Schizosaccharomyces pombe: one gene and its partners. Each later gene encodes a partner of the first gene's protein in a complex. Each region holds a gene or a part of one and is shown in the gene's direction. Other genes may lie near its edges.

What was found.
Region 2: pmc3 (region 1) and med14 share a complex: the UniProt entries of both Schizosaccharomyces pombe proteins name them as parts of the mediator complex.
Region 3: pmc3 (region 1) and med20 share a complex: the UniProt entries of both Schizosaccharomyces pombe proteins name them as parts of the mediator complex.
Region 4: pmc3 (region 1) and rox3 share a complex: the UniProt entries of both Schizosaccharomyces pombe proteins name them as parts of the mediator complex.

The regions. Positions count from the first base shown.
Region 1 is NC_003424.3:4,488,591-4,492,442, forward strand, and holds pmc3 (mediator complex subunit Med27), read left to right. Parts: upstream 1-1,815; 5' UTR 1,816-1,945; coding exon 1,946-2,020; intron 2,021-2,057; coding exon 2,058-2,121; intron 2,122-2,246; coding exon 2,247-2,324; intron 2,325-2,370; coding exon 2,371-2,792; intron 2,793-2,841; coding exon 2,842-3,024; 3' UTR 3,025-3,352; downstream 3,353-3,852. Other genes in the region: sorting and assembly machinery complex subunit Sam50, read right to left, coding at 194-1,516, 1,598-1,702; tif471 (translation initiation factor eIF4G), read right to left, coding at 3,503-3,852. UniProt on the Schizosaccharomyces pombe protein: Component of the Mediator complex, a coactivator involved in the regulated transcription of nearly all RNA polymerase II-dependent genes.
Region 2 is NC_003423.3:1,995,494-2,001,146, reverse strand, and holds med14 (mediator complex subunit Med14), read left to right. Parts: upstream 1-2,053; 5' UTR 2,054-2,218; coding exon 2,219-4,858; 3' UTR 4,859-5,141; downstream 5,142-5,653. Other genes in the region: anaphase-promoting complex cullin family subunit Apc2, read right to left, coding at 1-12; sdh7 (ACN9 family protein), read left to right, coding at 373-672, 788-835; V-ATPase assembly factor Pkr1, read right to left, coding at 771-981, 1,062-1,249; pus7 (pseudouridine synthase), read right to left, coding at 5,178-5,653. UniProt on the Schizosaccharomyces pombe protein: Component of the Mediator complex, a coactivator involved in the regulated transcription of nearly all RNA polymerase II-dependent genes.
Region 3 is NC_003424.3:2,348,482-2,351,798, forward strand, and holds med20 (mediator complex subunit Med20), read left to right. Parts: upstream 1-1,711; 5' UTR 1,712-1,845; coding exon 1,846-1,859; intron 1,860-1,901; coding exon 1,902-1,990; intron 1,991-2,059; coding exon 2,060-2,538; 3' UTR 2,539-2,763; downstream 2,764-3,317. Other genes in the region: ARP2/3 actin-organizing complex subunit Arc5, read right to left, coding at 71-133, 224-400, 527-599, 644-789; ilv3 (dihydroxy-acid dehydratase), read right to left, coding at 2,890-3,317. UniProt on the Schizosaccharomyces pombe protein: Component of the Mediator complex, a coactivator involved in the regulated transcription of nearly all RNA polymerase II-dependent genes.
Region 4 is NC_003421.2:1,733,695-1,737,215, reverse strand, and holds rox3 (mediator complex subunit Med19), read left to right. Parts: upstream 1-1,903; 5' UTR 1,904-2,032; coding exon 2,033-2,449; 3' UTR 2,450-2,956; downstream 2,957-3,521. Other genes in the region: dao1 (D-amino acid oxidase), read left to right, coding at 1-610; CIA machinery monothiol glutaredoxin Grx3, read left to right, coding at 1,289-1,789. UniProt on the Schizosaccharomyces pombe protein: Component of the Mediator complex, a coactivator involved in the regulated transcription of nearly all RNA polymerase II-dependent genes.

The DNA.
Region 1 (3,852 bases):
CATAAATCTTGACCAAAAGCAAAATATTTGTATGACAATTATAAATATGCATGAAAATTTAATTCAAACGCAGTAAAAGCAATTGTCAACCGTAACATTCTTATCATTAGCATAAATGAGAGAAAAAGACAGACAAGTCAGAGATGGGAATAGTAGAGACCTTATTAAAGTAAAAAGTTAAAAAGGAAAATCATTACATGAAATCGATACCCGCGCCGAATTGCAGGCCTTTACGACCGATATCCTTTTCGGTAGTAGCGATTGGTAAGGTAAAGTTCAGCTCGAAACGCGCAGCGGGAGTTGCATAGACTAAACCTAAGCCTGTAGAGATACAAGGCTTAGAAAGTATTGATTTGTATGTGCCACATGGATTTGGAGAAGTCAAATTCGATAGCCCTCCAGCATTCGCAAACAACTGTAAGCGAAATGGTTTAGAAGCATCAACTTTTGGCAAAGGGAATAGCAAGCTCATGGAGAAAGCCATATATGCGGTCCCGCCTAAAGAATCCCTGCCATCTTTTGGACCTATACGGTCTTCTGAAAAACCACGAAGGCTAGTTGAACCGCCTAACATGAAACGATCACACAGACTGACTTGCTTCTTATTTAGACTATGCAATGCTCCAATCCGGGCGGACAAAGAAAGAGAAACAGACCTAGAAGAATTTAAAGCCACAGCTTTTTGACCCCAGAATTCTGATTTTAGAAAGCTCGCATCTCCTGGAAGAAATCCGAACCCAGCGAGCTCTAAAGTCTGCCTCACATAATCTCCCTTCGTGGGTATCATAAGATGATCGCGTGTATCGCGTGTATACGTATAGGAAAGAGATTGTTTTAATGAATCACCGGCCTCAAGTCGTACGCTTGGAGAAGCATATTCAGTGAGATGAGTAACTTGCCTCCACAATAAGTTTTGTGAAAGTAAATGCTCGCCAGACCACAGATCTTGATGCTGCAATGAAAGCGTAATTCCTTTAGTAAGTAAGTCATGGCTCGAAATAGATTTATTGTCTCTCAAGTTACTGTGGCCATTGAATCGTAAACGGGTTTTAGGATCTGCGTTTACTGGGGTCTCAAAGTTCACGGACATGGTAGACCGATTACGAGTTCCATATGAAACGTTACCAGAAAGAAGTTCAGCTCCTCCAAAAACATTTCTTGCAAGAACATTAGCATGTACATTGCCTTCAACGTTACCAACATCAGTGCCGGTTTCTACATATAAACGTGGTTTCTCTTTTACTTGAATGGTAACATCAAGATCATCATCTCCAGAAACAGAAGAGCTAGCACGATCTATTTTAATATTGGCAGTTTCATAAACGTTGAATGCCATCAAATTCCCAGTAGTTTCTTGAATAGCATTTAATGTTTCAAGCAAAGATCGACTTTTGGCCGGTTTCGACGTATCCAAACATGTTTTCAATACTTTGCGAATGAAACTTGGCCTAGTATGATGTGCACCAGTAACTCGAATGGAAGAAATACCCACTGGCAAAGTGCTATTTTCTGCCAACTGATTGATGATGGTTAGTATAAATTATGGTGAATTAAAAAAAAAATAGAGACGAAAATTAGATAATAAAACTTAACTTACAATTTCAGAAAGGCTCTTAAATGTTTCCTCAGCTGAAAGTTTGCTTTCTTCGTTCACGGCGGGAATGTCAGATGGAAAAGAAGTTGACTCAAATTGTTCGGTCATATTTTCAAATTTCCTATATTTTGAATATAATAACAATCTTCTTTCTCAATAGCACTGGGGTTGAATTATTTTTTAAAGGTTTTTAGATGAATGTAAGTTCGTTAATGACAGCCGACATCTTACCATCTACTATTTGGATGTGCCGATTTTTGAATTCTCTCCATTTACCATCAATATTTATTTAATATACGCATTGTTAATTTTTTTTTCATAATTATTTTAAGTTTGTTAAGGCTACCAGAAATGTCATTAGAAGAGCAGCGTACAAGAGATGAATTAAAGCACAAGCTATTGGATTTAAATCAGCTTCACGAACAGGTTTGTCTAATTTCAGAAGACATTTTATTAATTTTAGCTTGCTGAATTAAGAACTATTTGTCCATCCCTTTTAAAATTATTACATCCTGAAACCGGCACAAGTAAGTAATTGTTTAAATAACTAAATTCTTTAAGAAAAACGAGTTAAAGTTTACACTAAGGGAAAATGATATGATGATTATCTTTCATATTAAATTTAAATTTTGCTCGAGTACTAATTAATTAGGTCGGAAATTTGAGAAAAGTGCTCAAGAAGCGATTGAAAAAGTAAATTCCTTTTATACACATCTTAAATCCAGTCAAAGTATGCATGCAAATTATTTTTAGCTTAAATTTTTGCTAATTAACAGACGTTTTTGATTATGCTGAAAAGTCTTTACAAGCCGATTCCTCTAATTTGCTCCCTACTTATTTATACAATTCAGAAGATTTGTCTAATGATACCGAAAATAATGAAACAAAATCCATTAATGGGAAGTCTGCATTAGACTTAAAGGAGCCGCATCACAGTGAATTGCATGATAATGACAATTTCCAAAATTCGGATATAAACATAGAGTCTTTTAAAGGTGATATTGAGGCTTCAGGGTCTATTCTTACAACGCATGAAAACAAGTCTTTCACTTTGAAACTAGCAAACGAGCTAGAGTTTATTTTCTTTCATGATACTAGGGGGAAATTTAGTGTTTATTGTTCATCTAGCAAAGACGATGCTATTACTTTTTCAATTAACCGTAACAACAACTTCCTTGGAAATTTATGGTCTCTTATGGTATGTGTTTTTGAGGTTGTTAGACAAAACCTCTGCTAACCGTGTGTAGCCTAAAATACTTGATTATCAGCATCTTTATTCTAAGCCGTGTGACTTTTGTAAAAGTCTCATTTCTCCTGTGTACCTGGAGCTTCCTTCTGTTCGAAGAAACGCAAACTCAACAGTGAAGCCTACTTCTAAAGATATATTAGCGTTACATGCAGAATGCGTGCCGGCTCAGTCAGATTTGTGAAACACTAATTTTGATATTCAAATGAAATAAGACGTTCATAATTGCCATTTTTGCTTCGTTTTGAGCTTGAGTTACAATTATCACTTTCAAAGAAGTGCATTTCAATCACATGCAGATGTTGGAATAAACTCAATGTCTTCTGACTCCTTGATATTTATAATTTCCAAATCTTGTTGGACTACTCAAGCCTGTTCTACAAACTTCAAATACCTTAATATATCATGGTTTTGTATACTAAAAATTCAAAAGTACTACTCTTTTAGTGATATAGATACTGTAAATTGGGCTATGCGTAACTCAATGAATGAAATTAAAATTTTCCAAAGCATTTCTCAATTACAATGTAGAGAATGTATTACCTTATACTATAAAGTCCATTTCCCGTTAACCCTGATAAATGATGGATTCATCCATAGCAAAACAATCAAAACAAACCAAAAGATGAAAGACTTAAATTACAGATTCAAATCCGATTACTTTACGAACTAGTTTTTGAGTTAGAATCTTTTTGACCCCCATCATTATCATGGTCATGCTCTTCAAGTAATTCGAAAGAATTAGCAGAAGTAACCGCGACGTTAGATGGTGGTGCACGAACAGACTGTTCCCTTCTTAAGGCACTGTTTTGACGAGAAGGCGTTCTACTAACGCTTCCACCTTTAAGCATTGAACTCAAACTTGTGGGACCGTGAGAACCCTGAGTACCAGATTTGAGACCTCTTATACCTTGTCCAAGTCTAGCATAACCATCTTTGTTATTAGACCAATCACTAGAGCTAAATGGTGGATTGCTTCCTCGACCGCCCATCCGAGAATCACCACGATTCA
Region 2 (5,653 bases), on another chromosome or scaffold:
AGTATCATTCATTATGCTTTTAATTTTTTCTGATAAATACTTTAATCTTAAAATAAATGAATTCAAGCAACTACAAATAATCGATACCAAATCGACAAGTCCTTTCTACGTAGTCCGATAACACAAAGTAATGTTTTCAAAAGAAAAAGGAATTAAAAATTGAAGATTTCAAGACAAATGATTGAAGGAACACTCACTTTTCCTACTAGTATATCTTCTGGTGGTATTGTTTACATTTGGTAGAAGAAGACCTTGCAATTGTTAGTGTGAATGCGATGAATAGCAAACTGCCTTCCACATCACAACCACAACAAGAAACTTAAAAGGAATTCAATTTTTGAAAAGACGGTATCTAAAGAAAATCATATACCAATGAATAACATAACGAAATTAATGAAACAAAAGAATATTTTGACACCTCCTTTGCCTCTGTACCGAAGGGTGTTGAGAGCGCATCGCTATCACCTAGGAGCAGAAGAACGAGCTTTAGGAGATGAATATGTAAAGGCGGAATTTCGAAGACATCGGAACGTAACAAATCCTTTGCATTTAGTAGGATTTTTAAGCTCGTGGGAGAGGTATGCGGATGCACTAGAAAACGAGAGCTGGAAACAGGAAAAATACAGTAATACGGATCTACTAGAATCTTTAAATGACCAGCAAATCGGACAGGTAAGAAAACTTATATTAGATTGAGGTTTATTATTAAAAGAAGAGAACTTTTACCAGTGCTCTTGAACTTATTGCTTCTTTTTTTGGACCTATAGTTTCTAACTATTATTGGCAGTTGTACGAGCTCTCAAAAGCTCTTCAGGAACAGAAAAAGTCTGAGTAGTGGTCGCGGAATCTGATTCTTTATCAGACATCTCTTTGTTATTAGAAGGATTTTGATTGTTTGAGTTGTCGTCATTTTTATTGGCACTTTGAGACGACATCTGCAAATCGTTATTAACTCGAGCATGTGCAAGCTCAACCAAAAACCTATAAAGTTGTTAATGAATGATCTGGACTACTCGTAAAAAAGTGAACGAGATGTTCAACTTCCTCATGGATAAACGTACCATGTTAGCGACAGCCACAAACAGATTGCCAGGAAAAATAAGATGAGACAATGAATACTTTTTGTACCTATATAAAGTCCAAGAAAAACAGCGACAAGTGCACCACAGGCTACGTGTGCTGACTTAGCCAATACAGGTGTGACACCTGGTGTGAAAATTGATTCCCATAGTTCCACCCAATACGACATGATCTTTTTCTTATTGGAATACTACTTGGAAATGTAGTAGCTATGAATTGACGTTGTTAAACCACCGTTTGTGTTCTAGCGATAAAATCTGGCCTTTATAGTGTGCGTGTGCTATTGAATTAATTTAGCAACGAGACCGATGTTGGAGTTCATTAAAAGTTAAAATGGATTTCAAGAAATCCATATCTTATACTACTATTAAAACCGAAGGTTATGCTTCCATTTGTCCAAATTTATTGTTAATAGAGCTTTGAATCATTCAAATGGAATAGTGCTCTACTTTTGTTTTGCTATATTAAAAATTTTTTGTCAGCTTCTTGTGGTCGTGGAGAAAATAATTAAATGATCAAAACAAATGTTATTTTTCGGCTTAGCTCTTCTAAATTACTGTTTTATTATCATTTTAATGAGACACGCTGAAGCTCTGATTAAAATTGATAGCAAAGTTTGAACAGCTTTAATGATGATTTTCGTTCAGTTTAAAGAAGGGGCTTTTTAACTACTATAGAATTACGAGAATCTTTTTGAACGGTTCCATCTCATTTGTTATTCTTCATTATCCATAGTTTCAAACTATGTTTTATGCGATTATCGCATAACAGGGCATGTTTATACTAGCTCAAATTTATTCAAAATCTCCCATTTTAGTAATATCATTGATCAATTATTATTTAATTCCATTTAAAATTGCTTATTTATTGATTATTCCAATTTTTTGAATGAATAAACCTAAGGCGTTTTAACAATCTCAGTGAATGGCGTAACGAAGGTTATCGAAGAGTTTCACGGGAGCTGTGTGAAGTTGCTTTTGGCACGCTACTCGAAGATTTCTGTAAAAGAGATATAAAGAATCCTTTTTAAGGGTTTTTAAAAGAACAAAACTTATGTTTATTACGAAATTTAGTTTTGGTAAAGGATCGGCTAATTAAAGGCGCTATTACACGAAATTCCTAACTCCTCCAATTGAGGATGGAACCGCCTGCGATTCCACACATTACAGAAGGATTTTATCCTCTTCCTGAGATAGTAGAAACTTTTAGTCATCATGTGTTACAAGAATTGGTGTCTTTAGCCGAAGTTCTACCCTCTATGTCAAATGTCGAGAAAAAGAAAAAGATCTTAGATTGGTTATTACGTTCGCGCGCTTTCACTATGCGTTTGCTAGTTTTAGCGCGTTGGGTACATCTATCTCCTTCAGTTCATCGATGCATAGATGTTGTAGCCTTTCTTCAAGGTCAAAAATTTTGCTTCCAGAATTTAGTTCATGTGTTACAAGATATTCGTTACCAGTTGTCATTTGCACGTCTACGCAACTCAGATTTAGTTACTGCATTAGATATTTTGTCAACTGGCACGAGTCTTCGTCTAGCAAATGCTCCCACTTCAAAATTATACATGCTATCTGAATCACCGCTAAGTACCAAACAAATACTTCAAACCCTTCATGCTCTTAACATGCTTATTAGAATTCGTCTTAGTCTTTATGAAATTATTCCGACACCATTTCAACATTTCACAATTGCTAATGGTCGTTGCACATTTACTGTTCCCAATGAGTTTTCAGTGTCTTTGACAACCAATTCCCAAGATCCTAAATCTACCGGTATTTCATTCCAGTGGATTGTTGTTGACTTTCAATTTCATCTTCCTGATTTTTCTTCTACTCCCGCAAAATATCGGGTTTTTATAGAATTGCATCTCAATGAAGAAATCGCTGCTGCATTCGTTCTACAAAAGCCCATCCTACCTTTAATATATAATATCCTTCATAAATTTTGTTTATATCAGCGCCTTAATTTATTGTCACAACAAACTTTTCAACTATCCAGAGAAAGTTGGTTAGGGCATTTGCGCGGTGTCTATGATGAAAAGCCCCCACGGCTACGTCTATACTATTGGCCCCAATTAAATGTGAAAAAAGAAGGAAAACCCGGAAAAATTGGTCATTATATTCATATATTTGTAAATACTCAACCCATATCCGCCTTTGAGCGTACCCTTAGCTCTAAGAGATCCAGTTGTGAATATGATCATTTTTTATTACTCGTTGAATGGCACCATGATGGCATTGTTGAACATGTACCATTAGATGATCATATGGATGCTCAGCATCTACTATTATTAATTACCCAAAAACACGCTCAACTTATTCTGGAACAAATCCGTAAGGAGCTTCACCCAAATATATTTAGTGAACATGTTGGTGGTGGTCTAAAAATTCATGTCTTTGATAATGAAATAATTGTCAAGGTGAACAGCGTTACCGGCAGGCTCGTGCTGTCGAGTTCGGCTTCACCTTTATCACCTCCCAGGCATCTTCGTGCTGCTGAAAAAAATATTGCTTTGAATACGCAACCTCCCGCCCAAATCTTGAATCGGTTGTATTTCTTTTGTATACAAACGCAGCTATTAGAAGTTGCCCAGTGTGCTGAGTTGCATGCAGTTCAAGGTTACTATTCTTTCCCTTATCTTACATTCTCCAAAGGTAAATGGAGAAAAGATGGCGATTCCCTATGGGTACTCGCGTACAACGTTGAATCCAACTCTTGGTCTGTTAGATTGTTGAACGCTGCGGGTCAAACTCTCTACACCCAAGATGTTCATACTACAAAAGGTACTTTAAGTATTGAAAGTTTTAGCCGTCTTTCGTACCTATTGGAAGTCCAAATACTTTTATTCAATGTTCAAACTGCTTGCCAAGCTCGTGGTATGCCTTTTGAATATTTGCCTATTCCACCAAAAGCCCTAATTGAAGATGACTTTACTACATACGTCCAAACAGGATGCTTATGTATTATGATGCCATCGTCTAATGAAGATATGCTTCCTGTGGTTTTCGTTCGCGCGCATGACGGGCAGTTAATTTTTGACTCCCGAATAAAAGGAAAATTGCCGTATCAGTCTGAGACTGAAACTGAAAAGAACTGCTACATAGATTGGAGAACCGGTCGTATTACCATTCGTGTGCAAAATTTTTCATCTTTCGAAAAAACATGGATTGGATTACTTAAACTTGTTGCTTTGTCTAAAACATCTGCATTCAATGTAGATTGTATCACGTTAAAGCATGTGGACTTTACATATCTCGATGATGAGAAATTTAGGGCTACAATTCATGACGACAACACTTTTACCCTTCATTTTTTTAATCGACATAGTCCGTTTCATCTAATTTCTCAGTTTTTGCAGGATACATTTTCTGATGGGCCCTCAGCTATTCAACCATTACGCGTAATTATGGATAGAACGAGAGGTGTTTTAGTAGCTCAAGAATTGGGCTACGTTGTTTTGGCTCGATCTCTGCGTCAGTACAGAATTATCCTATCCAAAAATCATGGCATTCAAGTTCTTTTAAATCGCCATGGATGTATACTCCAAGATTTATCCTACTTATCTGCCGATTCCCGATACTTGGAAGGAACTCAGACTTTGACGTCTCAATGGGAACCTTGTTCATGGCTTAATACTGTTTGGGAAGGTGACTTGGGTGATGATGAGCTTAATGGTCAGATTGAGGCCGCTCCCGAGATGCACTTAATAAAGATGAACAAAACGGCTGATTTAACAGCCATTCTAAAAAGAATTTTAGCGATCTCTCGAAAAAAATGAACTCATATTAAGCTTTTAATCCTCACCCCCTCCACCGTCCATTCCTTTCGGTGGCAGTGATTAGTGATTGTATATATAAATACGGCAAAAAATGTCTGGTTAATGAGGTAAATGAAAATCGTTTTCTAAAGTATACAAGTGAATGTTACATTGATGATACATGTGATTTATATAATCCAACGTGTAAATTAGAGATCGTCGAATTAACGCTTAATCATTTATGAATAAGCAAAAAACTTCCGTAGGTAAAATGAATTTCTATTATAATCGCCATAATCCCAAGTTTATTCAAAGCTGTGTTCTTTTAAGCTAATAAATTTTATATTGAATCTTTAAGTACCGCTGGCATCAACATACGTTGATCACCACTAGCAGTTGCAGTTCTTAAAGCTTCTCGTAAAGCCATAGTAGCGTAAGCAGAAGATGGAAGTACAAATTTTAACGTAACAGCGGTGTGCTTACCAACCTCAGAACTCACTGAAATAGAACGGTTCTCCAATCTATCCTTATCCGTCAAAATCAGTTGTTGTTCCATATTGTCATACTTTATGAAATTAAACTCCATATTTTCAGGACGCACCAAAAGTTTTCGATAATCACCAGGTAATGAAAGTTCTCTGTCTTTGCGAGACATATTTAATGGATCAAGTGATGCCTCATTCATGACAGACTTGTATATATCGAAAGTTTCATTTTTTGGGTATATTACATTACGACCAGGTAAAGGAAGTACTATGTCGTAAATACTAAAGTTATTGACTTCGTCCTCTTCAATCGGACGAGCTGATAATTTTG
Region 3 (3,317 bases), 2.1 Mb from region 1:
AAACAGAATCATTGATTCAGTTCCATAAGCGACAGAATAGTAGATACCAAAAAGTAAGATAAAGCCATATTTATAGATCGGGTCTACTATTGAGAACACGAACTATACATCCTATACCGGATATTTCCACCACCTACAAAACCGTATTAGTGACCGAATAAAAATGTAAAGCATGAGATAAGCAATGCTAGAGCGTTGGGAAAAGCAATAAACTAAAAGTTACCTTTTCGTGCCAATTAAGTAATACAGACGAGTTGTAGGCTTGAGGATTCGCCAATCCACGATAAATGAAGTTTACAATATTATCAATTTCCTCCGTTGAACATTCTTTTACAAATGCGGGAATGTCAGCAGCTCGTATATTGCTTAATACATCAACAAAAGCATTCAAATATTGAGTCTAAAAAAGTTAAAATTCATTTACACCATAATAAAATGAAATCAAGAAGAATTGTAAATTTAATCAATAAATAAAAACGTAATTGATATAAACCGTCTTTAAGCAGTTTGTACAGTTTGCACATACCCTAACTTCTTGAACATCATTTCCATAAGGAACATATGAGAGTAAGGTTTTCAAACCTTGTAAGGCATTTCCTCTATTTTAATTAATAAAAAAATTGCTTCTTTTAAATAAACATACGTTTGAATGGCAGACCGGGCTTGAGGAATGAGTTGAGAGACGGCTGCTTGGACTTGCTCCGCCGTTTCGTTACGAATTGGAAATATATCTTGCTCTGTTAAAACAGGTTCTGTGATGGAGTCGACATCCAAAGTCCGAAACGTCATTTTATAACTCTATAACTGGTAAGGTAAAGAAAACGATGGAACAGGTTAAGTTTCAGCTGTGTGTAGCTCTAAAGAGGCATCATACAACGGTCGAACGCAAGTCTGTAACTGAAGTTATTATAATTCATAGAGTATATTAATTTAACCAATAAGTTAAGAAAATTCAAAAAAATATATTTATATTTTTTTAATCTTATAACTTTAACTTATAATTTTTGAGCGGAGCTATATAAGTCTGGTAACAGCATTACTAACTTCTTCAGTACTCCATAGACCTCTTTTGTGGATGTTTATTTTTTTTTATTTGTAAATAATCATCTCTACCTTTGGTCTTAGATGTAAAGTTCTGAATAACTTGTAGACAGAAATTGGTTACATATTTTACATTTCTGCCTATGGTGATTCAGAAGAAAATATGTTAGATACAGCCTAGTAATTAGTTGAATAAAGATTAAAAGTAATTTTTTTTTTGCTTCTATCTATTTTCAGTATGTATATTGATGTATGAGTTTATACTTCTATTCGAACAATAACTTTTAAGACTTATTTTGCTGACAGAACTATGTAGTTTCTTGTGTAAAGTTCAAAGTAAAACGAAGAGACACATATGTAACATCCTGGGATTAACAGATTTTTAATTAGTGCTCAAACCAGCCAGTTACATTGTTACGTAGTATTTGACTCTCCAGAAGTTAATTATGAATGTAATTCAGTTAACTTAATTCTCTTCAAGCTTTTAACAATTTGCTCTGGGATTATCATACCCAAAAGCCATATACTTTGCGACTTGGAAAATAATAAAAATGACAAGAGATAAATTAATAAAATTTGAGCTCATATTATGTCTATCTGCTTTTTTTTTTTAATACAGGAACAATGAAAATGAAGGTTTTAAATTAGCCTGTTAGCAATTCTTGCAACCGCCGTACGCATTAAACTCTTCACATCAACATTACAGTAGAAGTAAAAGAACTAATTCGGCCATTTTTCTCAATAATTCGGTATAAACCGATATTCAGATGCATAATTAATTACCATTCATCTTTGTTATAAAATATGCCTGTTCACGGGTAAAAAGCATACCGATTGACTATTTTGCTGATTGATTATAGAGTTATTTATTATTCATCGCCTTCAATGGCGACGTTCCTTTCTCCAGCACAGGATAATCTGGTTAGGACCTACTTTGCACAACATTTAAGTAAGCTGACACTGGTTTGGATTTTATTTCTTATGATTGATGATTTCAAGATCTAACTTTGAATTTCAGAAAAATGGGTAGTTCAGTATAAACTTTACAGAAATGCTGTCACTCCAAAAACTTTAGAATTTTTGAAGCAAAACATTAATCCCAGCATGCTGGCGTGTGTGGATGAAGCGACAATGATTGATGCAGAACCTGAACTTGAGGACATCATTGTGCGAACGAAATTATGGAATTTTCGGCAGTCCTTTACTATTGAAGGTTCAATATATGAAGTAGGGAGCTTTAAAGTGGCTATTGCCAACGTTTTACAAAAGTCCGTTTGGAAGGGTATACTTTTTCATGTAACTTACGATGGTACTGAGTCCGTCGATCTCGCACGCCCTATTATTCAAGAATTCTTTCTTAAATGCTTTTTACAAAATAATAAATCGGTAACCCCTGTCTATGAAAGCTTCTTTAACCAGCCTCGTCATTCTTTGGATTCAAAACTTCTACTACAGTTGTTTAAACAACGCATTGATACCGTTTCACAACGCACATAGAATAAAAAAGTATCAATTTAAATTTTTTCTGTAAATAAATTTCTATCTAACTAACTGTCAAAGTCTTGCTTTATTGTCAGCAGAAAGTTATGGCTCCCTTTCACATTTACAGATACCAATTATGTTTAATAATAAAATAGAAATGCAGGAGTTTGAATAACAACCCATTTTAAACTCGATGCATTTCACTGTACTCCAAAAAGTAATTATTCATTCAAAATTATTCAAATAAACTCTAGATGAGATTATGGAATCAGCATTAAAAGCTTATTAATCAACCTTTACTACCAAAACATTAAACGTCTAAGTTTCCAAAATACTATGCGCGCTTATAAAAGCATTGAATATGCTTTACTCTAAGGAATCTGTAACAGCACCCTTGGAGGCAGTGCTAACGTTGCGAGCATATTTTAAAAGGGTTCCTTGTTGGTACTTCAAAGGAGGTGCCTTCCAAACACTGCGGCGTCTCGCCATCTCCTTCTCATCAACCATCAAATCTAAAGTGTTCTTTACAGCATTGATTTCAATGACATCGCCGTCCTGAACAAGAGCAATAGGGCCTCCAACTTGTGCTTCGGGATCAACGTGTCCAATCAAAAATCCGTGAGAGCCACCACTGAAACGACCGTCAGTCAAAAGTGCAACATCCTTTCCAAGACCAGCTCCCATAATAGCACTTGAAGGCTTTAACATTTCCGGCATACCAGGTCCACCTTTTGGTCCCTCAAAACGAATAATGACGACAGTCTTCTCGCCCTTCTTGAACTCACCACGCTCTA
Region 4 (3,521 bases), on another chromosome or scaffold:
TCATTACTTGAATTATATGTACAAGCTGCTCATTGAAGCTGGCGTCGAATTTGAAAAGAAAGAATTGAGTCACATCAAAGAGACTGTCGAAGAAACTCCAGAAGCTTCAGTAGTATTTAATTGCACTGGTCTCTGGGCTTCCAAATTGGGTGGCGTTGAAGACCCGGACGTTTATCCGACTCGTGGACATGTTGTTTTGGTTAAGGCTCCTCATGTAACAGAAACTCGCATTTTGAATGGCAAGAACTCTGATACCTATATTATTCCTCGTCCCTTAAATGGTGGAGTCATTTGCGGCGGTTTCATGCAACCAGGAAACTGGGATCGTGAAATTCACCCTGAAGACACTTTGGATATCCTTAAGAGAACATCGGCTTTGATGCCAGAATTGTTCCACGGCAAGGGTCCGGAGGGTGCTGAAATTATTCAAGAATGTGTCGGATTCCGTCCTTCTCGAAAGGGTGGTGCCCGCGTAGAGCTTGATGTTGTTCCCGGCACCTCAGTCCCCCTTGTTCATGATTACGGTGCTTCTGGCACAGGATACCAAGCTGGTTATGGTATGGCTCTTGACTCTGTCATGTTGGCTCTTCCTAAAATCAAATTGGCTTAGGTTTATTTTTTTATCACGTTTCATATTTTTTAGAGCATTATCTCCCCTCTTTTTATTAGGATAATTGGTCGCTTCATTTGAGGTAGTTTTTATACCAAATTTCGAACCATGTTTTATAGACTTAACGGATTTGTTAAAACGCATTTCAATTCTACGATACACGTGTACAAGTAGTTCATTAGCTTTTGAGAGTTGCTAAATCATGAGGATGAAATAGCATTAGAATGTTGTACATTACCTTTACGTTTTTTGACGATTATTTAAAAAAATTTACATCTTTTGAGAATAATCTGAAAGACTAAAGTGCTTGGCATCCTTAATGCGAGCAAGTAAGGTTCCTTTCCTTCCGTGCCCTTGTTGTAGAAGCATTAAAATAGACTGAGCTTGATTCATATTAACGGTGGCATCTTTGTAGCTTAATTAGTAATTTTTGGGCCTTTAAAGAAGTTTTTCAATCCTCAATCGCAATATCCTAAATTCACCTATCCGCGACCAGCCTACCGTTTGCATACCACAGGTTTTGGGTAACTATCTAAACCAACTGTGAGGGAATTTAATTGTAATAGTTTATTCATTTTATATTATTTTATTTTGCTTTAATCACAATAATTTGATTAATCAGCTGCTTTTCGTCAGCTCATACAAATTACCAAGAGAAAGGAAAGCTTACATCCCATTATGGCTAATAGAAAGATTTTTCTTATTACATCTCTTATAATATCGTTATTGCTTATTCATATCTTCATATTCAGTCCACTGAATGAACCTGAGAAAAATGCAAAGGCAGGACCTTTAGGTCTTTCAGATGTCTCAGTGCCATCTGCTCCTAAATTACCTGCTAAGGATTCAACAGATTTTGAAGTATTTCTTGAAAACCCTGTTATCATTTTTAGTCGTCCTGGATGTCCTTATAGTGCTGCAGCTAAAAAACTTCTAACAGAAACCCTTAGATTGGATCCTCCAGCAGTGGTTGTAGAAGTCACCGACTACGAGCATACTCAAGAGTTAAGAGACTGGCTTTCTTCCATTAGCGATATATCTACAATGCCCAACATCTTCGTTGGTGGTCATAGCATCGGTGGATCTGATTCGGTCCGTGCTCTGTACCAAGAAGAAAAACTTCAGTCTACTTTGGATGAATGGACACATAATAAAGTTTTAATTTTACCTACCGACTAATTTTAATTTTTCAATATATGTTTTGATGCAATTTATTAATTACAATTTATGTTAAATCGATTACCCTTGGAAGTAACTCAATAATTATACTAGCCAAGTATGCTATAGCTTCTTTAAACCACCAACCACTACTCCAAACTATCCAGCTAAGCAACTTAGAGAGTAAAGCATTCATTGCATATATATTTAAAAAATTTGAATGCAATAATATATTCTTATTGTTACATTGGTCAATTTATTTGCATGGCGCAAGCTCCTGAATACCACTATGTAGGTAGTGTAGACTACCAACCGACGAGGCCTTCTGCCCATCAGAATTTAATAGAGCTTTATGGTCTTACGGAACTTGCTAAAAAGGTTGGACGTGTCGATGAATTTGGTAACAAGAGAAAGATGCGTCGTTCGTACAAGGCTTACATCCAAGACTTGCCAGGTTATAATGAAATTCTTCGTGATAATACTATAAAACAATGGCTTACAAACCCTATTCGAGAAGAAGTTCCTATTGACATTGAATTTTTACATCATGTGTTCTCTGTAGAGCCAGGCATTATTCCAGGTTTTAATCCTAAAGTGTTTGGCCTTGAAGACGACGTTGTAATGGGCAATGTTAGTCGTGATTCCTCTCAACCTCGTAGTCCAAGTCGTAGAAAGAAGTAATTGATGAGCCATCAATTGCTCATCAAATCCTAGAAAGCTGTGAAAGTTTGCTTTAAAACTGCAGGTCAAATCCTTAATGCTCTTGCCGAATTTTACTAAACTTGTTGCTTTTACTGAAACTTGTCGATTCTGCTTTCCATTACTCAATGATTGTACTCAGAAGAGCGATAAATATTTGAAGCTCTTTCTGCGGGTTCAGTTATCTGCTGTTTTCAGAGATTTTTCATCGTTTCAAAGCATGGAAACAATACCAAATGATTTAATTACTCTTTAATTTGCGGTCTAGAAAACTTATTTATTACATGGCGTTGTTTCGTTTTTAAAATTCATCTTTGTTTTCTCAGGTTTATTCCTAAGAAGTCGCTTTTAACTTCAATAGTTTAATCTCGGTGATTCTACTAGATTCTCAAGAGACAAATTACTTAAATTCTTTTTCTCATCTACTGTTTAATGTATTCTTAACGTTGTTAACTGAATCATATTAACTTATGTTCTATATGTTGCTAGTTGTTTTATTCATTTTAGTAATACATTTTCAAAGTTATTTTTCTTCATATACATTTCATCGTAAAGAGTATTTTCTAAATAATACCCAATTTTGAGAAGTGTAAAACAATTGTCGAAATAGTAAAAATATGAGTTGATCTACGCAGGACTGTTGCAAAGAACCGCAGCATAAAAAAATGGTATTGGATCATCCAAATTAAACAGATTGTTTCACTTACTGCCCATACATTACAGTCATCAATCGTAAATACCCGACTGGGCTTTAGAGACGTAATTTCAGTATTCATGATTGATGCAAAAAAAATAACTTGTCATACATTTCTATGTCAATTACCATTGCTTGAATTGCATAAAATACACCGTTCGAACCCCATATTTCTTAATTATACAGATTTACACGCTTACAACACGATTGAGGTAAAAAAATCGTACTTTATGAAACAATCGATAGATATAAACCAAAAACAAATTTAATTATTTGCTTTCCCATATCCACACATTCCCCTCTAACATTAGAATATAGAGGAGAAGATCCTTTTGTAATTCCTAAGGACCTCCCTGATAA